Macaca fascicularis: one gene and its partners. The protein of the gene in region 3 purifies or fractionates together with the protein of the main gene of each other region. This does not show direct contact. Links are inferred from orthologs where the notes say so. Each region holds a gene or a part of one and is shown on either strand. Other genes may lie near its edges.

Evidence for each region.
Region 1: the proteins of SNRPF (region 3) and TGS1 purify together in Homo sapiens (co-immunoprecipitation; 3 studies listed by BioGRID and IntAct, counting the BioPlex papers as one, with this or other methods). This does not show direct contact. The link is inferred for Macaca fascicularis from reciprocal best matches to the Homo sapiens genes SNRPF and TGS1.
Region 2: the proteins of SNRPF (region 3) and TUT1 purify together in Homo sapiens (co-immunoprecipitation; 3 studies listed by BioGRID and IntAct, counting the BioPlex papers as one, with this or other methods). This does not show direct contact. The link is inferred for Macaca fascicularis from reciprocal best matches to the Homo sapiens genes SNRPF and TUT1.
Region 4: the proteins of SNRPF (region 3) and CLNS1A purify together in Homo sapiens (affinity purification with mass spectrometry; 3 studies listed by BioGRID and IntAct, counting the BioPlex papers as one, with this or other methods). This does not show direct contact. The link is inferred for Macaca fascicularis from reciprocal best matches to the Homo sapiens genes SNRPF and CLNS1A.
Region 5: the proteins of SNRPF (region 3) and SF3A2 purify together in Homo sapiens (affinity purification with mass spectrometry; 4 studies listed by BioGRID and IntAct, counting the BioPlex papers as one, with this or other methods). This does not show direct contact. The link is inferred for Macaca fascicularis from reciprocal best matches to the Homo sapiens genes SNRPF and SF3A2.
Region 6: the proteins of SNRPF (region 3) and SF3B1 purify together in Homo sapiens (co-immunoprecipitation; 3 studies listed by BioGRID and IntAct, counting the BioPlex papers as one, with this or other methods). This does not show direct contact. The link is inferred for Macaca fascicularis from reciprocal best matches to the Homo sapiens genes SNRPF and SF3B1.
Region 7: the proteins of SNRPF (region 3) and SNRNP70 purify together in Homo sapiens (affinity purification with mass spectrometry; 5 studies listed by BioGRID and IntAct, counting the BioPlex papers as one, with this or other methods). This does not show direct contact. The link is inferred for Macaca fascicularis from reciprocal best matches to the Homo sapiens genes SNRPF and SNRNP70.

What each region holds. Positions count from the first base shown.
Region 1 is NC_088382.1:65,784,996-65,787,896, forward strand, and holds the end of TGS1 (trimethylguanosine synthase), read left to right. Parts: intron 1-1,706; coding exon 1,707-1,913; 3' UTR 1,914-2,401; downstream 2,402-2,901. UniProt on the Homo sapiens protein: Catalyzes the 2 serial methylation steps for the conversion of the 7-monomethylguanosine (m(7)G) caps of snRNAs and snoRNAs to a 2,2,7-trimethylguanosine (m(2,2,7)G) cap structure.
Region 2 is NC_088388.1:11,478,944-11,482,200, forward strand, and holds part of TUT1 (speckle targeted PIP5K1A-regulated poly(A) polymerase), read left to right. Parts: intron 1-2,010; coding exon 2,011-2,480; intron 2,481-3,257. UniProt on the Homo sapiens protein: Poly(A) polymerase that creates the 3'-poly(A) tail of specific pre-mRNAs. Localizes to nuclear speckles together with PIP5K1A and mediates polyadenylation of a select set of mRNAs, such as HMOX1.
Region 3 is NC_088385.1:102,892,111-102,896,042, forward strand, and holds the start of SNRPF (small nuclear ribonucleoprotein F), read left to right. Parts: upstream 1-1,132; 5' UTR 1,133-1,254; coding exon 1,255-1,257; intron 1,258-3,236; coding exon 3,237-3,362; intron 3,363-3,771; coding exon of another isoform or gene 3,772-3,834; exon of another isoform or gene 3,835-3,932. UniProt on the Homo sapiens protein: Plays a role in pre-mRNA splicing as a core component of the spliceosomal U1, U2, U4 and U5 small nuclear ribonucleoproteins (snRNPs), the building blocks of the spliceosome.
Region 4 is NC_088388.1:76,526,136-76,529,635, forward strand, and holds part of CLNS1A (methylosome subunit pICln), read right to left. Parts: intron 2,198-3,500; coding exon 2,061-2,197; intron 1-2,060. UniProt on the Homo sapiens protein: Involved in both the assembly of spliceosomal snRNPs and the methylation of Sm proteins.
Region 5 is NC_088393.1:2,893,132-2,897,128, reverse strand, and holds the start of SF3A2 (splicing factor 3A subunit 2), read right to left. Parts: upstream 2,801-3,997; 5' UTR 2,130-2,800; intron 1-2,129. Other genes in the region: PLEKHJ1 (pleckstrin homology domain-containing family J member 1), read left to right, coding at 3,405-3,498, 3,663-3,730, 3,826-3,892. UniProt on the Homo sapiens protein: Component of the 17S U2 SnRNP complex of the spliceosome, a large ribonucleoprotein complex that removes introns from transcribed pre-mRNAs.
Region 6 is NC_088386.1:93,002,273-93,004,809, reverse strand, and holds the end of SF3B1 (splicing factor 3B subunit 1), read left to right. Parts: intron 1-834; coding exon 835-1,051; intron 1,052-1,555; coding exon 1,556-1,714; 3' UTR 1,715-2,037; downstream 2,038-2,537. UniProt on the Homo sapiens protein: Component of the 17S U2 SnRNP complex of the spliceosome, a large ribonucleoprotein complex that removes introns from transcribed pre-mRNAs.
Region 7 is NC_088393.1:57,061,431-57,065,540, forward strand, and holds the start of SNRNP70 (U1 small nuclear ribonucleoprotein 70 kDa), read left to right. Parts: upstream 1-1,310; 5' UTR 1,311-1,504; exon of another isoform or gene 1,505-1,709; intron 1,710-2,263; 5' UTR 2,264-2,273; coding exon 2,274-2,420; intron 2,421-4,110. UniProt on the Homo sapiens protein: Component of the spliceosomal U1 snRNP, which is essential for recognition of the pre-mRNA 5' splice-site and the subsequent assembly of the spliceosome. SNRNP70 binds to the loop I region of U1-snRNA.

The DNA of each region.
Region 1 (2,901 bases), on a different chromosome or scaffold from region 3:
TTTGAGTACTTGAATAATGAGAGGAAATCACTGTTTATCATGCAATTTATGCTGATTAACTTTTTCTAGTTACATTAACAGTTTCACAAAGAGAAAGTTAACTTTTTCTTTAACTTGTGTTTTTGGTTTATTTCAAAAACTTTCCAGAATTGGAGTTGGTGATTCATGTTTTTTGCCTCTAGAGGGAGTAATGACACTAGGGAATAATGAAACCAAGAAAGACTGAGATTTCAAGTGTATTATTTTATTATTATTATTTCAAGTGTATTTTTTTGCTATCAAATTTAGATCAGATTACAATGGGAAATCAACTTTTTTTAAATGAAGAAAATGTATCCATATGTAGGAACTTTTTAATGACAGGAGACAGTACTAAAAATTTAGAGAAATCACAGTTGCAAAGAAATTGACTTTTTTTTGTTAAGGAACTTTTAGAATGTTACAACAACCTGAATTTACAGATGGTTTGAGTTCCCAAGTGTGTCACAGTCTGCTGTTTGAAACTCAGGCTGTATTTTTCTCATAGAAATGTCTGTGAAGGATAGTTAATTTCCCATCCAGGGAGATTGTACTCTTAGATAATGTTTATATCATCCTAAATAGCATGGACTCAATACAAATACAACTTATCTCAAATATTTCCATGTAAGAGATGATGCTAATTGTTTTCTGTATCTAGTGAAATGTTTTTCTAGGTCCCTTATTACCTCAATCTTCTATTCCTTTTTTCTCTTCGGAGATGATTCCAAGACATGCATTTCTTGCTAAGAACTCTAAGAACTGAGTAATTTAGAAAAATATCTTTTTGTGAGAGGCTCTTTGGAGGTAAGGTATATACCTTACTGTTTGAAATTGCTGTTGAAACCCAATAACTAATATTTATTTATTTATTTATTTATTTATTTATTTAATGGAGATAGGGTTTCTCTCTGTCACGCGGACTGGAATGCAGTAGCATGATCATAGCTCACTGCAACCTCAAATTCCTGGGCTCAAGTGATCCTCCTGCCTCAGCTTTCTAAAATGCTAGGATCTCAAATCCAATTCAGAAAGCCCAGAGTAAACATATTTTATCTGCTTGATGCCTGTATCTTGCCATGCTTTCCTTTCTTTCCTTGGACAGCCAGAGAATTCCAACTAATTCTAGCTTTGGATTTACCATGCTTCACAAACATGAAAGGTTTCTCTTTTAAGTGATAAACCTATTGAATATATTAATAGATAAAATAGATAAAAATCTCTGAACAGACAAGGACTTAGTCCTTCCCAAAGGAAGATGCAGGCAGCAATTATCAAACACCACCTTTGTGTGAAATCCTTGTGGGTGGAATCTCTGACATAAGGAATCTTGTCTCTTAGCCCAAGGCAAGAACGAAGAGAGGAAGTCTGCTGGTCAATACAGAGAGCAGGGCAACATTAAGCAACATCCCTAAGAATTATGTTTAAAAAATGAACTGTATTATGTTAATTCCTGGCCTTTGTCTAGCAGACACACTCTACCCTTCCATGGCTTCCCCAGGCACATGTCATGGTAACATTTGGGCCAGGCAAACCCTACCTACTTTATTTCCTCATAAAGTGGAGAAGTTTACAAATTAACTAATAATTAAATAAACCCTAAGTATAAAATTGATGTTAGATTTAATAATGGGATTCATCTCTCTTTTTTTTTTTTGTTTTTGTTTTTGTTTTTGTTTTTGAGACAGAGTCTTGCTCTGTCACCCAGGCTGGAGTGCAATGGCATGATCTCGGCTCACTGCAACCTCTGCCTGCCTCCCGGGTTCAAGCGATTCTCCTGCCTCAACCTCCCAAGTAGTTGGGACTACAGGCGCACACCACCACGCCCAGCTAATTTTTGTATTTTTAGTAGAGACGGGTTTCACCATGTTGGCCAGGATGGCTCGATCTCTTGACCTCTTGATCCGCCCACCTCGGCCTCCCAAAGTGCTGGGATTACAGGCATGAGCCACCGCGCCTGGCCCTCATCTCTCCTTAGTTGGCAGAGTACTTAAAACTCCAATTGTCTTTTTATATTTTGTTCTATAATGTCTAGGAAGGGAAACGTTCCTCATTGTAACAGTCACTTCTAATAGTTTATTTTGGTAGATAGGTAGGTAGATGGATAGATAGGTCGATAGGAATGAGGTATTTATAGGTCATACTTCTAAAACTTATATAAGAATAGAATTGTAAGTATTTGAATAATGAACTGTTTGTAAATATGAAAAACTATTAGGTAATATTGTTATGTGGAAAATGTTTTAAATATAACTAAATTCAGTTTATTAGCATTTTTGGTGGTTTTGGCTAAATACAATAAAAATGTATCACAGATTTATTTGCAAATATTCTAAGTAATTATAGTATCTGTGTATTTAATAAATGGAAGATTGGGCCCTAACTGGTTTCTAAATATTCGATTTTTTTAATTTGTGTGAAATTTTTCTGAATTAAGTTAATATAGTGGAAATCTAATCTAATGGTAGCTCTCGTATAAGTAGAGAACATTAGTCCAGGTTTAGGAACCAGAAGCATGAGAGAGTAAAAAGAAGGCTAAGAACTGGATTGGGCTTCTGGTACATGTTGGAATAGTAGACTCCAAGCTAGTTACTTGAAAATAGCCTTTACAGCTCATAGCACTCCACAGTGCGTTCATTCCTACCACACTAACAATACCCTGCATTCATACACTATACATCTACAGCATAGGAGCTGGCATACATGCTTAGGTAGGGTGTACAGTGTCCTCTTAGCCATTTCATTGACTCATCATGAGATTCTGGAGCAGTATGTTTCTGAAGCACCTGATCTCATTGGTGGCTAAACTATGGAGGTATGGAGATTTGCCTGGTCATTCTGCCGCACAGCGACAGTCTTATTACACCTTGCTGTCTCCCACTG
Region 2 (3,257 bases), on a different chromosome or scaffold from region 3:
AGAATCACCTTGAATGCAGGAGGCAGAGGTTGCAGTGAGCCAAGATTGCACCACTGCACTACAACCTGGGTGACAGAGGGAGACTCCTCCTCAAAAAAAAAAAAAAAAAGAAAGAAAAAATGAATTGACATGGATACCTGGCAGTCGTAACAAAAAAAATTTTCAAAATGGTGTGTACAATATGATTTTATTTTGGAAAAAATATATTAAAAATTATACAATAAGGTCCTTTTAGTTTTGCTCTGTGTATTTTCTTTCTTTCTTTTTTTTTTTTGTTTTTTTGAGACACAGTCTAACTCTGTCACCCAAGCTGGAGTACAGTGCTGTGATCTCTACTCACTGCAACCTCCACCTTCTGGGTTCAAGTGATTCTCGTGCCTCAGTCTCCCAAGTAGCTCGGAATACAGGCACACACCACCATGCCTGGCTAATTTTCTGTATTTTTAGTAGAGATGGGGTTTCTCCATGTAGGCCAGGCTGGTCTTGGACTCTTGGCCTAAAGTGATCCACCCACCTTGGCCTCCCAAAGTGCTGGGATTACAGGAATGAGCTACCATGCCCGGCCACTTACCTGTGTTTTCTATTTTTTTTTTTTTTTTTTTTTGAGACGGAGTCTCGCTCTGTCGCCCAGGCTGGAGTGCAGTGGCCGGATCTCGGCTCACTGCAAGCTCCGCCTCCCGGGTTCACGCCATTCTCCTGCCTCAGCCTCCCGAGTAGCTGGGACTACAGGCGCCCACAACCGTGCCCGGCTAATTTTTTGTATTTTTAGTAGAGACGGGGTTTCACCGTGGTCTCGATCTCCTGACCTTGTGATCCGCCCGCCTCGGCCTCCCAAAGTGCTGGGATTATAGGCGTGAGCCACCGCGCCCAGCACCTATATTTTCTAACATCTAATGTACAGATTCTGTTTTAGGAATAGAAAAAGATAATTATTATTACTTAGAAATAGGGTCTCACTATGTTGCCCAGGCTGGTCTTGAACTCCTAGGCTCAAGGAATCCTCCTGCCTCATTCTCCCAAATTGCTGGGATTACAGGTATAAGCCCGCATGCCCAGCCTATTATTATTTTCAAAAAATAGACTTGGCGGGGCGCAGTGGTTCACGCCTGTGTGATCCCAGCACTTTGGAAGGCCAAGGCAGGTGGATCACCTGAGGTCAGGAATTTGAGACCAGCCTGGCTAACATGGTGAAACGCCGTCTCTACTAAAAATAGAAAAATCAGCCGGGTATGGTGGCGGGCGCCTGTAATCCCAGCTACTCCGGAGGCTGAGGCAGGAGAGACAGCTTGAACCCGGGAGGCGGAGCTTGCAGTGAACCAAGATCGTGCCACTGCACTCCAGCCTGGATGACAGATTGAGACTCCATCTCAAAAAAAAAAAAAAGACTTTATTTTTTAGAGCAGTGTTAGATTCACAGCAAAAGTGAGCAGAAAGTAGAGTTCCTATATGCCTGCTGCCCCCGCAACAGGAGTTTTTAAATGTTTTATCATTCTTTTTGTCGTTCTCTACACACACACTTTCTTTATTTGTATTTTCTGAATCATCTGAGAGGTTGCATGTATCACATTCCTTTACCCCTCAATATTTCAATGTGTGTTATGCAAGAACAAAGGTATTCTAGTGTATAACCACAGTACCATTGTCAAGTTGAGAAAATGTTACATTGATACAAATGTAAACCTTTAGGCTTTACATTCCATACTCTAATTTGGTCAGCTGTCCTGACAATGGACTGTTATGGTTTCTGTTTAGTCTTCTTTAGTTTGTAATAGTTCCTCTGTTTTTGTCTTTCGCGATAATGACATTTTTTGCAGAGGTAGACCTTTTATTTTATAGAATTAAAAGGTTATCTTTAAAAAAAAAGGTTGGTGTGAAGATTAAATGAGTTAATATGTATAAAGCCCTTAGCATAGAGCTGAATAAGCTGGAAGTGATATTATCTTGGGGATAGAGATGTTCTCTGCTTAGGGGACAGCAGAAGCATTTCACTCAGCTCATTTCTGTCCACAGCCAGTCCCAAAGGCTCCAGAATCTCCATCGCTGGACTCGGCCCTGGCTTCGCCACTGGACCCTCAAGCCCTGGCCTGCACCCCAGCCTCCCCTCCAGATTCACAATCTCCAGCTTCTCCCCAGGATTCTGAAGCCCTGGACTTTGAAACCCCTTCCTCCTCCCTGGCACCCCAAACTCCAGACTCTGCCTTGGCCTCTGAGACCCTTGCTTCTCCCCAGTCTCTGCCTCCAGCCTCACCACTGCTGGAGGATAGGGGAGAGGGGGGCCTGGGGAAGGCCCTGGAACTAGCAGAGGCCCCAAAGCGGGAGAAAGCAGAAGGGGCAGCAATGCTGGAGCTGGTGGGATCCATTCTCCGGGGCTGTGTCCCCGGGGTGTATCGAGTCCAAACTGTGCCCTCCGCCCGGCGCCCTGTGGTCAAGTTCTGTCATCGGCCTTCAGGTCTCCACGGTGACATCTCCCTCAGTAACCGGTATCTTTCTTTTTTTCTTTTTTTTGAGACAACATTTTGCTCTTGTTGCCCAGGCTGGAGTGCAATGGCACCATCTTGGCTCACTGCAACCTCCGCCTCCCGGGTTCAAGTGATTCTCCTGCCTCAGCCTCCCAAGTAGCTGGAATTACAGGCATGCGCCACCATGCCCGGCTAATTTTGTATTTTTAGTAGAGACGGGGTTCCTCCACGTTGGTTAGGCTGGTCTCGAACTCCCAACCTCAGGTGATCCGCCTGCCTCGGCCTCCCAGAGTGCTGGCATTACAGGCGTGAGGCACCATACTTTTCTTTGGGGCAGGCCGGCTGAGAATTCTGGGGTGCGCCAGGAGGGAGTCTGGCTTGGGAAACTCCTGCACCTGCCAAGTCTCAAGTTTGTCCTTGTTTGGGACTATCCCTCCTTCTGTCCCTTGTCTCCTCCTGCCTGGCTTCCCTTTCAGTGTTTGTAAAGTGTGTTCCTTAGAATATTACTTTCAAGGGATGTAGAAAAGAGTTCTGCGGTTGAATAAATTTGGGAAAGTCAAAATTAGATGCAAAAAGTTTTCTCCATTTCCTCCCTTCTCCCCTTGCCTTGCCTTCTCTTTCTCCTTTCCTTCCTTCTTCTCTCCCTTCCTGTCTTTGTTTCTTTGCATAGTAAAGGCTCTTGGCAGTCTTTTTTTTTTTTTTTTTTTTTTTGAGATGGGATGTTGCTCTGTCACCCAGGCTGGAGTGCAGTGGTGTGACCATGGCTCAAAAGCAGTGTTAAGAATAATAGGCCGGGCG
Region 3 (3,932 bases):
CTAATAACTGTTTGGTAAAAACTACACTGACAATGACTGTCTTGTCAGTGTTCAACACTTATGTGAAACACTGAGCTTTTACAAGGCCAAGCCCCGTTTTAGGTTAAATTCTCGCAACCACGCTGAGGATGGTTCCGTTTTTAAAGCCGCGTTCCTGCCGTGGAAACAGTGGCCCTGAGGGTTAAGACACTGCCCAACACCGGCTGCGCCTGATAGACGCAGGTTCCGAATGCAGGCCCTCTCCAAAGTCTTGCCCACTGCTCCACAGTGCCTCAACAACCAACATTTCATCCTCAACCTCAAATCCATCTCTTCAGGGCCGCAAAAAAGCGTTACTTCCCAAAGGGCGTGTTCTCCAAGAACTGCATTTAGCATTTCAGATCAGAGTGAGCCGAACTCACTAGGATTACGACAAAAACCAGTGAGATTCAGATAACACCGTTACGTCGAAAGTTTTAATCCGTGACAGCGGAAATATTGCTTACGCCCTTAGGTAATTTCAAATGCACGTAAGAAGGCCGTGCCAGTCTCTGCTGGCGATGCAAAAGAAAGATGGGGCCGGCGGGGTCGTGGGGGGTGGGGGGACATGACATCATATCCCAGACACAACCTGACCTCGTTTAAAATAAATTCTGTATCCGACTCCCTTCGGTGCGTTTCACCGCCCCTAGTCTTGTCTGGCTACCCCCGAAGTCCTTTAAAAGGGGTTGAAATGGGTGTTGCAGAAGAGAGAATACTCAGGTAGAAACGGCCTGCGGCAGAGGCGCCCCCAAATCATGGAACCTGTTGGAAGAGTGAGGAAGGAACTCTGGGATCCTGAACATTCTCACGGGTGTAAAAAGACAAAGTAAAATCCCCATTAACCAAGTTGGGGAGAAGTCACATCCGTTACACAGCCTCTCCCAGACCGCACATTTACAACACCGGCCTGCCTCCAGTCCTTGGCTGCCTCACCTTGCTCCTCAGAGCGGGTTTCCCAAGACCCGCGCGCAGCCGGCCAGGCGCAAACTCAAGCCGCTGCTGGTTGCCAGGAGATACTGGTCCAACCATCTCCTCCAATCAGCGCGCATCTCTTTTCGTCCAATCACAGAGGCAGGAAGGGCCGTGGTGGGAGGTGAAAGGTCACACTCCTGTTTGGCGGCCATTTTTCTTGAAATTCAGCGGCTCGGGACCTGGGGTACCTGCTGTAGTCACGAGGGACAAGCGGCAGCCTGGTCGGCAGTGAGTAGCCTGCAATATTCGGCCGTGGTTACGATGGTAAGGAGAACGAGAACGGCGGGAGAAGCGGGGAGAAAGAGAAGGAGGGAGACCACCTCGCGGGGCCTAGTGGTTGCTTCGCGCGTTTCCCATTCATCCGCGTGAGGCGCCGCGCACCCGGTCGCCAGCTTCTTTCACTCTGCTTTTAGGATTTCTGAGGCGCGTGCTCCTCCCGATGCCTTTCTTTTTCTAGGAGTACCCGTGCCTTCTCCTCTTTGTTTGAATCCGGGCTTGGGATATTCTTGTTTGTGGCTACAGGGTCGGGGTAAAACTCAAAGAGAATTTGCACTTCCCACTTAACCACACTCCAAAATTCACTTTCATTGCATGAAAGTAATGATACGGCCATGCTCTAGTTTAACTCAGTTGGTTGGGGAAGACAGACAGTCAAAAAATAACAAATATGCAATTGCAAGTAATAAGTGCTAAGAAGAATGCAGACAGGAGGCTGTGAGGGTGCGCGTTAGACATTTAGAGGCTTAGTCAGAGATGGCCTCCCTAGGAGGTGGAATTTAACCTGAAGCCTAAGTGTCATGAAATAGACCCTTTAAAGAGCAGGAGGAGGAGTGTACCGAGCACAGGGAATAGGCGCATAAGACCTGCGGCCGGAAAGAAAGCTTGGTCAGTTGGAGAAATTGACAAAAAGGTACAGCCACTTGCAGGAAGAGTGGTTACGAGATGGTGTCGGAGGAGCAGGCGTTGGACAGGACCTCTTAGGCTGTATTGGGAGGTTTTGATTGTACTCCAAATCAATTGAAAATGATTGAGTTGGAAGCCATTGAATCATTTTAAGCAGAAATATGACAATTTGATGTGCACTTTAAAAAATCATGTTGCTGTGGTGGATAATAAATTGGAGAATGAAAACTGGAGACCCATTAGGTTATTGGAGTAATCGCCGTATCAAGTCACTCCGAATATGTTTATGTTAGAGGGGGTTAGTAGCCAAGTTTCTTAGTTCTGTTCTTTCTTTGACTGGTGAGTGAGCAGAAAAAGGCAAAAACCGAATTCACTGGAGATGTTAATGGTTTGCTGAACAAACTTTAAGTGATTTCTATAAGAGGCAGTGCTAGTGACAAAGTCATTTAGGACCTAGCCCTAGCTTCCACAGTTAAAGACTGTCAAGCGTCATCTGCCCTCTGCTTCCTTCTGTAGTCTTATATTTGGGACTTTGACTGACAATGCTGAATTGTATGTCCCCAAAATCACCTTGTTGCTTCACTCTTCCCTCCTTTTACATAAGTAGCTAGCCTTGCCTGGAACAGGATTTTTTCCCGCTCTGGAAATAAATTCTCATTCTTTAAAACTGAGGTTAACTTATTTCAGGCAACCTTTCCTTTTTTCCCTGGATTGCTTCGGTACCCTTGTGCCTAGTATATCTCCTCTTATTATGTTGCAATATGCAGTATAATTATTTGTATGTGAGGAGCCCCCCTCCCCATCTCCAACTTCTTGACAGGGACTCTGTTATTTATTTATGACAAGGTCTTGCTCTGTTCCCTAGTAGCCGGGACTACAGGTGTGCACCACCACATCTGACTATTTTTGGTAGAGAAGGTGGTCTCACTATGTTGCCTGGGCTGGTCTTGAAATTCTGGCCTCAAGTGATCCCCCTGCCTTGGCCTTCCAGAATGCTGGAATTACAGATATGAGCCACCCTTTCTGGCCCGCATTTTTTTTTTTTAAAGTGCCTTTATCTTTGTTTCTTTAGAGCTCAGAACAGTAAGTGATGTATGTAGTCGGTGTTATCTTAAGTGAATAGTGAGTATTTTGTTTTGATGGGTTAAAGGTGATACTGACTAACTGGATATTTAAATTTCCCTGGTACTCTCCAATAAATAAAAGTGAAAATTGTGTACTAAAATAATGAGTCAAGAGTTTTCTTCATTTGCATACCACAAAATATTGGTATTTAGTAGAAGAGAGTTGGTGGTGGGAGGAAAAATAATTAATTGGATCCTTTTTTGTTCTTTGTGCAGAGTTTACCCCTCAATCCCAAACCTTTCCTCAATGGACTAACAGGAAAGCCAGTGATGGTGAAACTTAAGTGGGGAATGGAGTACAAGGGCTATCTGGTATCTGTAGATGGCTACATGAACATGCAGGTAAGCTAAAGAGCTGTAAAGGTCATAACATTGCATTTAGTTTGCTTCACCTTATTGCTCAAAGGTTTAGTCTGACTAATAAGAATACATACAATTAAATTGACAAATGTACGGCAAAATTAAAAAATAAAGTCAAAGCCAGGGAGGATACTATGATATACTAGGTACAAGACATGGACTTAAACCAGAATTCAGCCACAGATTTTATTCCTAGTAGTTAAAGTAAGAAGAGCTCAGACATTTAATTCATAATAATACTGTAAGGGAAACACACTACTTTGCTGGAGAAAACAAAACATTTCTCATCATTTAGCCCTGAAAGAAAGTTTTCAAGTGAAATTCATGAGTCTTTTAATGAATGATGCTAAAGGCACAACACCAAAGTTATTGAGGAAATTCATTCCTTCAGGGGAAAGACACATCTGCCGAAGAAATTGAACTGACTGTATGTCTGTCAAATGAGTTTCTGTAAATGATTCAGCCATGTGTTTTGGTGGGGGTTTTTTTGTAATTAATTTTCTTTTTATTGTGGTAAAATATACATTACAATTTTGCCACTCTAACCATTTT
Region 4 (3,500 bases), on a different chromosome or scaffold from region 3:
GAGATCGCGTCACTGCACTCCAGCCTGGCAACAGAGCAAGACTCCATCTCAAAAAAATAAAAAAAACTGGAGAATTAGTGAAATAAATGTGACCCAGGAAGATACTAATTTCTAGTAAGATAGGAAATCCTGCATATTTTACTAAGAAAGGATTAATCATAATCACATCAATTACAATCAAATAATCATATAGACTCTGTAAGATTATAGAGCACATATTTAAAACACACACCCTAAAACCTACTGAACTGCTTTTTCCTAGTTTAGGACTTACAGCATTTGCATTTTAAACAAGCTTCCCACGTATTTCTAATATGTATCCGTTAGTCTTGAGTTTGAGAACCAGAGACCAATATACTCCCTTAACCTTTCTGGATGAAATTCAGGCTCAGAGAGATGCAAATGACTTGCCTAGCAAGTTAATGACAGAGTTTTTACTTTTTTTTTTTTTTTCAACAGAGTCTCGCTCTGTTGCCCAGACCGGAGTGCAGTGGTGCAATCTCAGCTCACTGCAACCTCCACGTCCTGGGTTTAAGCGATTCTCATGTCTCAGCCTTCCGAGAAGCTGGGATTACTGGCGCCCACCACCAGGCCCAGCTAATTTTTGTATTTTTAGTAGAGACAGGGTTTCACCATGTTGGCCAAGCAGGTCTCCAACTCCTGACTTCAGGTGATCCGCCTGCCTCGGCCTCCCAAAGTGCTGGGATTACAGGTGTGAGCCACTGTGCCCGGCCTAATGACAGAGTTTTCTTATTCAATGTGCTTTTGCCCTTTATTATTAAACACTATTTCCTAAGCCTTTCTCTTGATATGTACCTTTCCCACCTCCAATGCCCGTCACTATTTAGGGCCATTTCACACCAGCATTTGGAGCTGACTGGCAAGAGTACCTCTAAGGTTTTGCATTTCTGGAAATCAATGAATGCTTTAAACTAAACATGACACATGATATTCTTAGTTATAAAATCATAGTTGCATTTACTTAGATGAAAAGCAAATTTTGTATCTAATGCCTTATTAGGAAGTCTTACTACACTACTACACCCCAGGGTTAACAGCCTTTTACTTTTCCTAATCCTCTTTTTCAGACTTCACTAGATTTTTAAATGTCTTTGAACCTTTTCCAACGGCAAGAATTGGAAATCTTATAACAAAAATATTTTCAGATAGCTGAATCAGTCATTACCACTTAATGAGGCAGGGCTTGCCAAAAGTCCTAAGAATTACTAAATAGTGTCACAACTGAATATAAATGATCATATTATTATATCTGGAACCATATTAAAATCCCAATTTGAAAGAGCAATAGTCTTATAGGTAAATAAATGGGATTGTCTCTTACACACTGCTTCAAAGAAAAGCAACCCATTATTTTAAACATGAACATCTTCACTAGATTTTTACAAGTCTTTGCAATTATCCCAAAGCAAAACTTGAAAATCTTTATATCCTACAGTTTCTCAACCTTGGCACCACTGACATTTGGATGGAATAATTCTTTGTTGTGGGGGACCATCTGCGCATAGCAGAATATTTAGTACAATAATAGCACCCTTGGCATCTAACTGCTAGATGCCAATAATATCCTTCCTCTTTCAACCAAAATGTCACTGCCAAATGTGGGGGAATGGTGAGGCTGGTGGAGGTCTATGAAAAATATATTCCCCCTACACCCACTGATAACCACTATTGTAACAAAACAGAACAGTTCTATCTTAAATTCTCAGAAGCACAGGGTATACTGATCCAAGTCCCTAAGGGTGCCTTTTAAAAAGAGAAAGGCAGAATAAACAGTGAAACTTTAGAGGAAAGTTAGAAATACATATCCATAATAAATGAAGAATTCTAAGTGTAAATATATAGAAATATATACAGACACACACAAACGTCCATTATGAAAACTTCAACTGTCCAAGTTGCTGTGCTGAAATTTTGCTTAATAAACTACTATCCAAAATGAGTCAATGGCCTCAATGTTACATTGATTATTATCAAACACTCTTTTTTAAAATATAATTTGCTATCAAAGGAGGCATTAGATTAAATTACACCATACATACCTTCAAATTTGGCATTCACCATAACATACAAATGCTCTCCTAGACAGTCACTTCGGTCCCTGGATAATGCATGTAAACTAATAGTGGGGTATTCCAGTGAGAATCCTAATCCAGAACCATCTAACCAAGACAGGCGGCTGAAAAACATGTTTTAAGTAGATTAGTTTTAGAAAGTAAATCCTAATGTAATATCACAAAGTACATAAAAGTTCAGCTTGGACACCTTTATGCATATAAATAAATTCAAGCTTACTTTTTTAGAAATGTTCATAAAATAAGAAAATTCAGGCCAGGCGCGGTGGCTCAAGCCTGTAATCCCAGCACTTTGGGAGGCCGAGACGGGCGGATCACGAGGTTAGGAGATCGAGACCATCCTGGCTAACACGGTGAAACCCCGTCTCTACTAAAAAATACAAAAAACTAGCCGGGCGAGGTGGCCGGCGCCTGTAGTCCCAGCTACTCGGGAGGCTGAGGCAGGAGAATGGCGTGAACCCGGGAGGCAGAGCTTGCAGGGAGCTGAGATCCGGCCACTGCACTCCAGCCTGGGTGACAGAGCGAGACTCCGTCTCAAAAAAAAAAAAAAAAAAAAAGAAAATTCAGTAGTGGAAATCGAATTTTCTTTAAGATCAATTCTGTTAAAGTCTCTTTCCCTCTAGCTATAAATTCAAACAGACTTGAAATTCCATTTTCCTCAGTCACATGTATGTTTCTATGACTTTCAAGCTTCTTCTTTTTTGATATGTCTTCAAATACCCTCTTTGCTTTTGCAAATCCTCCCCTCTTCCATGAGGCCTCCCTTCAACTACACCAGTCCATAAAGACCTCTTCTTTTTCTGATTTGCAAATTTTAGTACTTAACTCTGTGGTAGTGAGTCTTATATGTGCCCTTATGGAATATGAGCTATTTGACAGCAGGACTCGTCACATTCCTTTATTTAACATTCTTCAAAACCATTAACAAAGAGCTCAGGAGGTAAGTATGCAATAAATCCTTGGTAATCATTCGTTTCTCCATGAATCCTACACTAAAAGACATAAATGGGTGTCATCACACTCACCGCAACTCAGGGAATATTTATTACCTTGAGAGACAGACTCCCTGAAGCCTCTCATTTATTCAACATCTTTAAGAGAAAGCCACAGAAAAGCTAGGCCTAGTTTTCCCTCAAATGTGGTCAAATGCAAATATTTTATTGGTGTACCAAAGGAAGCACATCACCAAAATCAGTATGTTGAGCTTTCAGTAGAGGCTAGCTAATTTTCTGATAATATTTCATCCATCTGTACCACTTAGCAGAAAAAAAGTAAAAAATCCTGAAGAAGCTAAAAAAAAAAATGTTAATGCAATACAGTGGTTGCCTAGGGCTAGAAGGAAATAGGAATGTCTGCTAATGGGTACCAGGTTCTTTTTGGGGTGAAGAAAATATTCTAAAATTGTGG
Region 5 (3,997 bases), on a different chromosome or scaffold from region 3:
GCCAAATATGGATTTTCAATCTAGATTTTTATACCCCACCAAACTTCTAACTATGAGGGTAAATAAACTCATTTTCAGGCAATCAAAGACTTCCCCCATCCCCGAAAAAAATCATCTATTTCTTCCAAAGCTCCCAGAAGTTCTGCTCTGACAGCAGGAAGAGGAAAAGATGGCCACACTGGGAACAGAGGTCAGCACAGGGCAGCAAGGACAGGAAGGTTTGGGACACCAGCTCCACCCAGGCAGAGCACAATCAGTCCCATTTGGAGGAGGAGGATACGGGAGTCTTGGAGGGCAGTGGGGAGGGGGAGATCAATTCATTTAAACCTGTGCAAAACACAACTGATAGGTGTGAGATGCTGGAGCTTTGTGGGGAAATAAACAAACAGTAGGGAAAAGAAAGGCTAATGGTAAAAACAAAGTTAATTAGCTTTAAGGGAAAATAGAATGCTACAACAAAAGCCCAGTTGAACACATTACTTGTTTTAGCAGCCAACTAAATATATATACATATACATGTGTGTATGTGTGTGTGTGTGTGTATATATATACATATATACACATATATATACATATATATACATATATACACATATATACATATATATACATATATACATATATACATATATATATATATATTTTTTTTTTTTGAGACGGAGTCTCGCTCTGTCGCCCAGGCTGGAGTGCAGTGGTGCGATCTCGGCTCACTGCAAGCTCCGCCTCCCGGGTTCACGCCATTCTCCTGCCTCAGCCTCCCGAGTAGCTGGGACTACAGGCGCCCAAAACCGCGCCCGGCTAATTTTTTGTATTTTTAGTAGAGACGGGGTTTCACCGTGGTCTCGATCTCCTGACCTTGTGATCCGCCCGCCTCGGCCTCCCAAAGTGCTGGGATTACAGGCGTGAGCCACCGCGCCCGGCCATATACATATATTTTTTTGAGATGGAATCTCGCTGTGTCTCCCAAGCTGGAGTGCAGTGGCGTGATCTCAGCTCACTGCAAGCTCCGCCTCCTGGGTTCACGCCATTCTCCTGCCTCAGCCTCCCGAGTAGCTGGGACTACAGGTGCCCGCCACCACACCTGGCTGAATTTTTGTATTTTTAGTAGAGACGGGGTTTCACCATGTTAGCCAGGGTGGTCTCAATCTCCTGACCTCGTGATCCACCTGCCTTGGCCTCCCAAAGTGCTGGGATTATAGGCGTGAGCCACTGCGCCCGGCCCTGAGCAGCCAACAACATTTTGCATCTTATTTAAAAAATACAACCAATGACCAACTGTGCTCACGACAGAAACTCATTCAGGATATGGAAGGCGAAGGTGCAGTGGGTGGATAGGAGGGAGAAAATCTCAACAGCCGTGACAGGAAATCAGCAGATGATGTCTACAAATTGATAAATCCAGGAAGAAGTATGTTATTTACTAAAGTAAAGATCAGGGAACAGAGTGGAAAAACCCCATCTCTACAAAAAAATAGAAAAAAGAGCCGGGTGTAGTGGCTAATGCCTGTAATCCTACCACTTTGGGAGGCTGTGGGGGGGTGGGGGGGGGAAGGATCACCTGAGGTCAAGAGTTCGAGACCAGCCTGGGCAACATGGCCAAACTCCGTCTCTACAAAAAATACAAAAATTAGCCGGGCATGGTGGTGAGCACCTGTGGTCCCAGCGACTTGGGAGGTTGAGGCAGGAGGACGGCTTGAGCATGGGAGTTCGAGGCTGCAGTAAGCTGTGATGGCACCACTGCACTCACTCCATCCTGGGTGACAGAGCAAGACACTGTCTCAAAACAAACAGAGAGACAAAAAACCGACGACGACCAGGGGAAATGAACTTAAGAATTGAGGAAAGGTGGCCTCCGAGACCTGGGGCTGGACCAGCGGGAAGGAATTAGTTTTTGGTGGCAACACCGTTCTCTCGTTAAACCCAGCAAACAACCTCTTTTCCAAAGCTCCCCCTGGCTGTTTGGTGTTCTCCAAGGATACACACGAACAACGGTCACAGCCATGTGCACCTGCAAAATGGGGCCAGCTAACGTTTTCTGGTCCCCTTTGGCATGGTGTTGAAGCTGTCACTCCCGTTTTAAGGGGAATGACGCTTACAGGAGTTACATCACAGAGCCCCAGTGAACTCACAGGTATAGATTAGCATGCAGAAGCGTTCTCGGCTACAAGGAAGGAGGCCCAAACCATTTCAGCCGCGATCCCGATCTGATCCCAACGAGTCTTAGTTGTTTCTTTTTCATTTTGTGAAACAGGGTCTTGCTCTGTTGCCCAGGCTGGAGTGCAATTGCGATCATGGCTCACTGCAGCCTCGACATTCCGGGATCAAGCGATCCTCTCGAGTAGCTGGGGCTACAGGTACAACCACCACTCCTGGCTAATTTTTAAAATTTTTTTGTAGAGATGGGGTCTCGCTGTGTTGTCCAGCCTGGTCTCGAACTCCTGGCCTCAAGCGATCCTCCCGCCAAGCCCTCCCTGAGCGGTGAGATTACAGGCGTGAGCCCCCGCGCGCGGCCTCCCAACAGGAGTTTGGAAATAGAGTTCCGAGGGGGCCCGACCCTCCGGGCCCGCCCAACGCGGGACCTACAGGATGCACAAGGCCGGACGCTCACGGGAGGAGGGAGGGGAGCGACGCCGCCGCCCGCCCCTCGGCCTGCGGCCTGTCGCAAGCTCCTCTCTCCTACGTCCGCTCTTCCCCAGGGAACCCCCGGTCCGAGTCGGCCGCCACCCTCAACCGGCTCCACTCCTCACCAGAGCCTGAGGGCGCGTTATCTCCTCGATCCGCCACCGCCACGACTTCGTTCGGCGCACGCGCGTCGCGGTCAAAGAAAGCACTTCCGGGGCAAATGGGGCGGGCCCTCTGGTGTGCGCATGCCCGGCCCGCCCAGCGGCGCAAGTCAGAGGGTCAGGAGGCGCGAGGGAAAGGGCTGGAGGGGGCGGGGCTGAACGCCCGGCCTGGAAGGCAAACCGCGCGTGCGCACAACGCCCCCAACGAACCCTTGGTTCGCTGCGGCCGCGCTGGGCTAACTTTCGCGAGGGGCGGCTGACATTCTTCGGGAGACGTTATCGCTCCCTCCGCCTGCGCCTGGCCGCTCTAGGAAGGGGTGCCAGCCATCGCGGGGGTGCCTTGATGCTGTTCCACCTTTGTCTGGTTTATTTCAATTTAATGGTTATGTAACGACTGTCCGTCTCCGCTACCAACTCGTGCACCGCCCCCCCGCCCCCCGCCCCAGGTCGCCAGCGCCACGCACTGGAGACTGGCGGCATGGCCGGCCCAAAGTGCGCAGGCGCACTAGCCCCGGCGGTGCTTCCGTGTCTGCGCCCTGAGACCTTTTTGGCGCCGGCCCCGGCGTGAACGGGGACGGCGGCCGGGAGGGCGCGGTCCAGGTTCCCGTTCCCCGCGAAGCCATGCGGTACAACGAGAAGGAGCTGCAGGCGCTGTCCCGGCAGCCGGCCGAGATGGCGGCCGAGCTGGGCATGAGGGGCCCCAAGAAGGGCAGCGGTGAGCGGGACCCGGGAGACCGGGACAGTGCCAGGGGCGGAAGGCTGGGGCCGCAGTCCGGGCGCGGGTGCCGGAGGCCGGATTCCGGGTCGGGGCGCCGGGTGCGGGAGGCCGGGGTCCGGGCGGGGGCTGCCTGCGCCCCTGAGCGCGCGCTGTGCCCGCAGTGCTGAAGCGGCGGCTGGTGAAGCTGGTGGTGAATTTCCTCTTCTACTTCCGGACAGACGAGGCCGAGGTAGGGGCGTCGAGGGCGCGCGGGCGGGTCCCAGGCTGGGGCCCCGCGGAGGCCGGGTGCTCACTGCTCCGTCCCGGCGCCCGTGTCTCCTCCAGCCCGTCGGAGCCCTGCTGCTGGAGCGGTGCAGAGTCATCCGGGAAGAGCCCGGCGCCTTCTCTATCAGTGAGTGGGGCTAGGGAAGCCAGCGGCGCCTCCCGCAGCCCGGGGCACCAGCAGCGCTGCAACTGTCCCCTCCCCAGGCGCTCAAGGCCTCCTCTATGTCCCCAG
Region 6 (2,537 bases), on a different chromosome or scaffold from region 3:
AGAGACAGGGTTTCGCCATGTTGGCCAGGCTGGTCTAGAACTCCTGACCTCAGGTGATTCACCTGCCTCGGCCTCCCAAAGTGCTGGGATTATAGGCATGAGCCACCATGCCCAGCCTGAAAAGTAATTTTAAAAAAGAGAAAAAAGTTTAAAATAAGATATTACCGTTTATTATTCATACATTAGAATCACATACCTCCTCTTTAATAGCATAATAAAGCCAAGACTTCACAGAGCCCTGCTGCTCATATTCCTTTTAAAAGTTAATTAGAAGGCTAGGCGTGGTGGCTCACGCCTGTAATCCCAGTACTTTGGGAGGCTGAGGCGGGCAGATCACAATGTCAAGAGATCAAGATCATCCTGGCCAACATGGCGAAACCCCATCTCTACTAAAAATTCAAAAATTAGCTGGGCATGGTGGCACACACCTGTAATTCCAGCTACTCAGGAGGCTGAGGCAGGAGAATTGCTTGAACCTGGGAGGCAGAGGTTGCAGTGAGCCAAGATCACACCACTGCACTCCAGCCTGGGCGACAGAGTGAGACTGTCTCAAAAAAAAAGTTAATTAGAAAATATGGCTTAATTGTTGAGCAATAGTGAAGCTTGAGTCATTAAAGCAAAAGTTCTCAAGTGGAAACATTAGTTATTCTAAAGGATATATTAGACACACGAAATGTTAGGATGACTTCACATCTATTCAGTGCACTGAATTAGTAATTTCGTTTCCAATGGGCAGGTGAATATTTCCTGTAAAACTAAGACCATATCTTGAAGGATTTTTTCCCCTTTCTTATAAGACTGTATCTTAAAGGACTTTTTTCCCTTCCCTTATAGAGACCTTGTACACAGACAGACGGCTAGTGCAGTGGTACAGCACATGTCACTTGGGGTTTATGGATTTGGTTGTGAAGATTCGCTGAATCACTTGTTGAACTATGTATGGCCCAATGTGTTTGAGACATCTCCTCATGTAATTCAGGCAGTTATGGGAGCCCTAGAGGGTCTGAGAGTTGCTATTGGACCATGTAGAATGTTGCAGTATTGTTTACAGGTAAGTTAAAGTTGTTTTTTTTTTTAATCGGTGAATTTTTTTTTTTTTAATAATACTTTAAGTTCTGGGATACATGTGCTGAATGTGCAGGTTTGTTACATAGGTATACATGTGGCATGGTGGTTTGCTGCACGTATCAACCCATCATCTAGGTTTTAAGCCCCGCGTGCATTAGGTGTTTGTCCTAATGCTCTCCTTCCCCTTTCCCCCCACTCCCTGTAAGTTAAAGGTTTTTAAAAGATTACTTAGCAAGAAAAGTAGTGTGTTGAATTAAGTTACTTTTCCTGATTATCAACAGGGTATATTGTGCCATATGGTAGAACAATTGTGTGGTGACGGGGGAGTGCGTTTTGTCTCTTCCGTTTTAGCTTTGTATAATTACTAGGCCCCCCCCACTCCCCAAGGGAAATAATTTTGAATCATATCTTTATGATTTGTTAATTTTGTTAAGGTTATGTGTGTTCTTGAAAATTGAAATAAGGTAACTGTTCAATATTATTTTAGGGTCTGTTTCATCCAGCCCGGAAAGTCAGAGATGTATATTGGAAAATTTACAACTCTATCTACATTGGTTCCCAGGATGCTCTCATAGCACATTACCCAAGAATCTACAACGATGATAAGAACACCTATATCCGTTATGAACTTGACTATATCTTATAATTTTATTGTTTATTTTGTGTTTAATGCACAGCTACTTCACACCTTAAACTTGCTTTGATTTGGTGATGTAAACTTTTAAACATTGCAGATCAGTGTAGAACTGGTCATAGAGGAAGAGCTAGAAATCCAGTAGCATGATTTTTAAATAACCTGTCTTTGTTTTTGATGTTAAGCAGTAAATGCCAGTAGTGACCAAGAACACAGTGATTACATACACTATACTGGAGGGATTTCATTTTTAATTCATCTTTATGAAGATTTAGAACTCATTCCTTGTGTTTAAAGGGAATGTTTAATTGAGAAATAAACATTTGTGTACAAAATGCTAATTTGTGTGTGTTTTTTGAACATGACTTGTAAAATGCGGAACTTTGATAAAGTATTGGTTTATGTGGAATAAGTGGCTTAATTTCATTTTCTGTCACCTGGTTAATAGAAAGTAGTTAGCCAAATAAAAATTATATGAAGTGATGGCATCTTTGTCAAAATTCCATTGTTCTGTTAATAATGACAGCAAGAACAGTAGCCTCAGGAGGTGTTCCCCTCAAACTAGCACAACCATTCCATCATCATAGAAAAGTAGCACTTTTGCTAAACTGTCTTGAATATTTTGTACTTACATAGCGCCTTTCATCTCTTGATTTCTCAAAATGCTTTATGAACATGTTTAAAGGAAGTGGTTTAAGTCTTGTCCAACGCTTGAAAGTCTGCTGTGTTTAACAAGTGAGAAATTTAACTTTACTTCAAAACTGCTTTCTGCCTATTAGGAGTGAGGATACCTAAGTAATGCTGATAGAACAGATTCCTTATGTACTGTGATAAT
Region 7 (4,110 bases), on a different chromosome or scaffold from region 3:
TCCTCAAGTGATCCACCCGCCTTGGCCTCCCAAAGTGCTGGGATTACAGGTGTGAGCCACTGCACTTGGCCTTTTTATTGAAACATAAAATTAGTCAATTGAATTTTGCAGTAATTTAGTTATTAAACAGGCTATTGAATCTATCCACAAAACTTAAGATACTTAACAACAGGGCTTCAAATAACTTAAGTGCCAGCTCTCTGATCTCATGGCTAACAACCTGAGATTTCTGCCATCTGGTCCTCGCTCAGGACCTTTGCACTTAAACTGTTAAACACCACCCCCCGCTCCCCCCCGCCTCCAGATCTCGCTTCTATCTGGTTTTTGTTCAAATGTTGCCTCTTCAGAAGAGGCTTCCATTATCAAAATAGACTCGCTCTCATTTCCCATCCCTTTATTCTGCTCCATCGTTCTTCATTATGCTGGCCACTATCTCAAAATATCTTTTATTTTTTATATTTATTTATTTTTGAGACGGAGTCGCTCTGTCGCCCAGGCTGGAGTGCAATGGCACGACCTCGGCTCACTGCAAACTCAGCCTCCCAAGTTCAAGCGATTCTCCTGCCACAGCCTCCCGAGTAACTGGGATTACAGGCGCGCACCGCCACGCCCGGATAATTTTTGTATTTTTAGTAGAGACGGGCTTTCACCATGTTGGTCAGGTTGGTCTCGCACTCCTGACCTCAGGTGATCCGACCGCCTCAGCTTCCCAAAGTTCTGGGATTACATGCGTGATCCACCGCGCCCGGCCTCAAATTATCTTTACTCAGTTAAATGCTTTTATTGTCTCTCCCAGTACAGTGTAAGCCCTAGCAGGAGAAGACTTTGCTTTAATCACGTGCTGTAGCCCCAAAGCCCAGACAGTGCCTAGCACACACGAGATGCTCGATGAACAGTTATCGATTGACTAGATTAAACATCAACGCAATCAGGCCATTCACTTAGGGACTCTTTGCTAGTCGGCGGAGAGGTACATTATAGTTCACTACGCAGAACGCATGCGCGCAAGATCCGGGAAGTGTGATTGGAAAGGGGCGGAGCATCAGGGAGAGCCTCGCGGACATAGGCGGTTTGGAGCGGAAAGCGAGAGGTGGAGGGGCGGCTTGGGGCTAAGCGCGCGCGCGCAGTGCAGACGCCAGCTCCCGGCGGTTGAAATACTCAAGGTGCCCGAAGGCGGGGTGGTGACCTCGCGCGTGCGCTGTTGCCGCGGCGGCGCCGGGTCCTAGCGTGTGGGTTGAGCTTGGCCTCGCGCGGCGCGTGCGCAGTGCAGACGGCGGAGGGATTTGCGGCCGGGACCCACCCCCTGCTCCAGTCGCTAGCCGAGGCCGCGCGGGTTCCTGAGCAGCGGCCTGGTGCGCTCGCTGCGCGGGCGACGGAATCAGACGGACGCGGACGCCCCCAGAGTGGAAGCCCAAGCAGGAGCTGTTGTTGCTGAGGGGCCGCCGCAGCCGCCGCGAGCCTCCGGACAGACACCAGAGCTAGGAGGGCGCTGCGCGGCGAGTGAGTGTGACTGAGTGGCCCGACGGGGAGCGGGGCCGCTACCCAGAAGCCCCAGCGGTGGGCCCGGGCCTCTTCCCCGCGGCCAGGCCCCCTTCCCGCGTCCTCGCCACAGGTCACTTTTGCATCCCTTTCCCGGACCCCGAGTTCTCTGGGCACCCACGCCCGGTCCCCACATCGCCCTCGCGGTTCCCTACCCACAGGCCCTTGCGGTGTGTAGCCTTTTTTCTTTTTCGTTTTTCTATGTTGTCCTGGACCCTTACCCATAATTCCTTTCGCCTTTGCGGGGCCCAGATCTGTTACCCACAATCGCTTGGTTTTGGGGCTTCGCTCCTTATGTTTCTCTTTCTTTGCTCGGAGACTTCCGACCCCCAGGCCCTTGCAAACTGCGTCTAGTAATTTGCTGTCCACGGTACGGGACGAGCAGCCACAACTGCCCTGGGCCTCCCTCCTCGGGTCTTTGATTCCCCCAGAAATTCCCAGGCAACCTCTCCGCCCCACAGCTCGTGTCTCAGGACTCTGAGACTTCACTACTCAGGAACCCTTTTTCAGCCTTTATTTTTGTGTCTTTTACCGGCCTTTCACCTCCACCTCCAACAAGACTTTTACCCTTTTCTCCGTAACACAGGACCGTTCTCTGCCGTTACAAAGCCTGTTTTAATTCCGAGACTTTTCTCCTTTCTTTCTTACTTTGAGAGTCAAGGAGTAATAGGGGCTTTCTCTGCAGACCCGATCTAACCTAAGGCTGTCCTGCTTCTGCTCTCAGACTTGGCAAGATGACCCAGTTCCTGCCGCCCAACCTTCTGGCCCTCTTTGCCCCCCGTGACCCTATCCCATACCTGCCACCCCTGGAGAAACTGCCACATGAAAAACACCACAATCAACCTTACTGTGGCATTGCGCCGTACATTCGAGAGTTTGAGGTGAGTTCACTGAGCAGGCCAGGAATGGTTTGGGTTCTGGGGAGCAAGGGGTTGGATTTGCGAGTCCAGCCTCTGACTATTTTGCTAGCTGTGTGATTTAAGCGAGGGGCTTAATCTTTGTGATCCTCAGTTTCGCTGTTTTAAATGGGGTTGCAGCCGGGTGCCGGGTGTGGTCGAGTGCAGCAGTAGTTCTAGCTACTCAGGAGGCTGAGATGGGAGGATTGCTTGAGCCCAGGAGTTGGGGACTGAAGTGCTCTGTGATTGTGCCGCTATACTCCGGCCTGGGTGACAGAGCAGGACTTTGTCTCTCAAAAAAAAAAAAATTTTTTTTAAAGTGGGGTTGTGGCCCAGTGCGGTGGCTCACGCGTGTAATCCCAGTACTTTGGGAGGCTGAGGCAGGTGGATCACCTGAGGTGAAGAGTTCAAGACCAGCCTGACCAACATGGTGAAACCCCGTCTCTACTAAAAATAACAAAAATTAGCCGGGCATGATGATGCCTGTAATTCCAGCTCCTTGGGAGGCTGAGGCACGAGAATCACTTGAACCCAGGAGGTGGAGGTTGCAATGAGCTGAGATCGTGCCACTGCACTCCAGCCTGGGCAACAGAAGAAGACTGTCTCAAAAAAAAAGTAGGGTTTGATAGTACCCCTTTTGTAGAATTTTTGTGAAAATTCAGTGAGTAGTGGTTGAAGATTGGCACTTAACCCGCACCATTTATCAGCTCTGACTTTGGGCAAATGTTGTATCCTCTTCATGCATTGGTTTCTTTATCTTTAGCAAGGGGATAGTGGTAGCACCCTCATAATGCTGGAGAATTAAATGGCAAAGTGTATATCAGGGGCTTGGCACCAACCAGTCAGCACGTGTCAGCCTTTGTTACTTTGTTTACTGTTTTTATTGTTAATAAGATGATGTTCATAAAGACTTAGCACCCAGTATTGAGTATTGGAGGACTTAAAACTGCAGATGGGGATCTTAGCTCTGCACCTTCGGGGTAAATAGGAATGAATGACTTAGGCTCCTGGACCTCTGTGTTTTTATTTGTGAAATGGGATGACAAAGGTCTTCTCCTAGGTGCATCAGAGCACACCTGAGAAAAACTGGCACATAGCCAGAAGTTACAAGAACATTCTGGCATTGCGTAGGGAAGGGCAGCTGGAGGCGAGGGAGTTGCACAGCAGAAGTTCATAGATAACAGAAAGGTGTATCTTCAGTGGGATTTGCCACCCTTGGTGAACCCGCATTTGAGAAGTGTTACTGGCCAGTTAAATTAACTTAATGGGCACAGGCGGTGGTAGGTGCCCTTTGATGATGCAGGTCATGTGCCAGTTTCTATTTATTTATTTATTTATTTGAGAGGGAGTCTTGCTCTGTCGCCCAGGCTAGAGTGCAGTGGTGCGATCTCAGCTCACTGCAAGCTCCGCCTCCTGGGTTCACGCCATTCTCCTGCCTCAGCCTCCGGAGTAGCTGGGACTACAGGTGCCTGCCACCACGCCCGGCTAATTTTTTGTATTTTTAGTAGAAACGGGGTTTCACCGTGTTAGCCAGGATGGTCTGGATCTCCTGACTTCGTGATCCGCCCACCTTGGCCTCCCAAAGTGCTGGGATTACAGGCGTGAGCCACCGTGCCTGGTCTCAGTTACTAGTTATTTATTTTTTTTTTAATTTTTTTTTTTTTTTTTTTTTTTT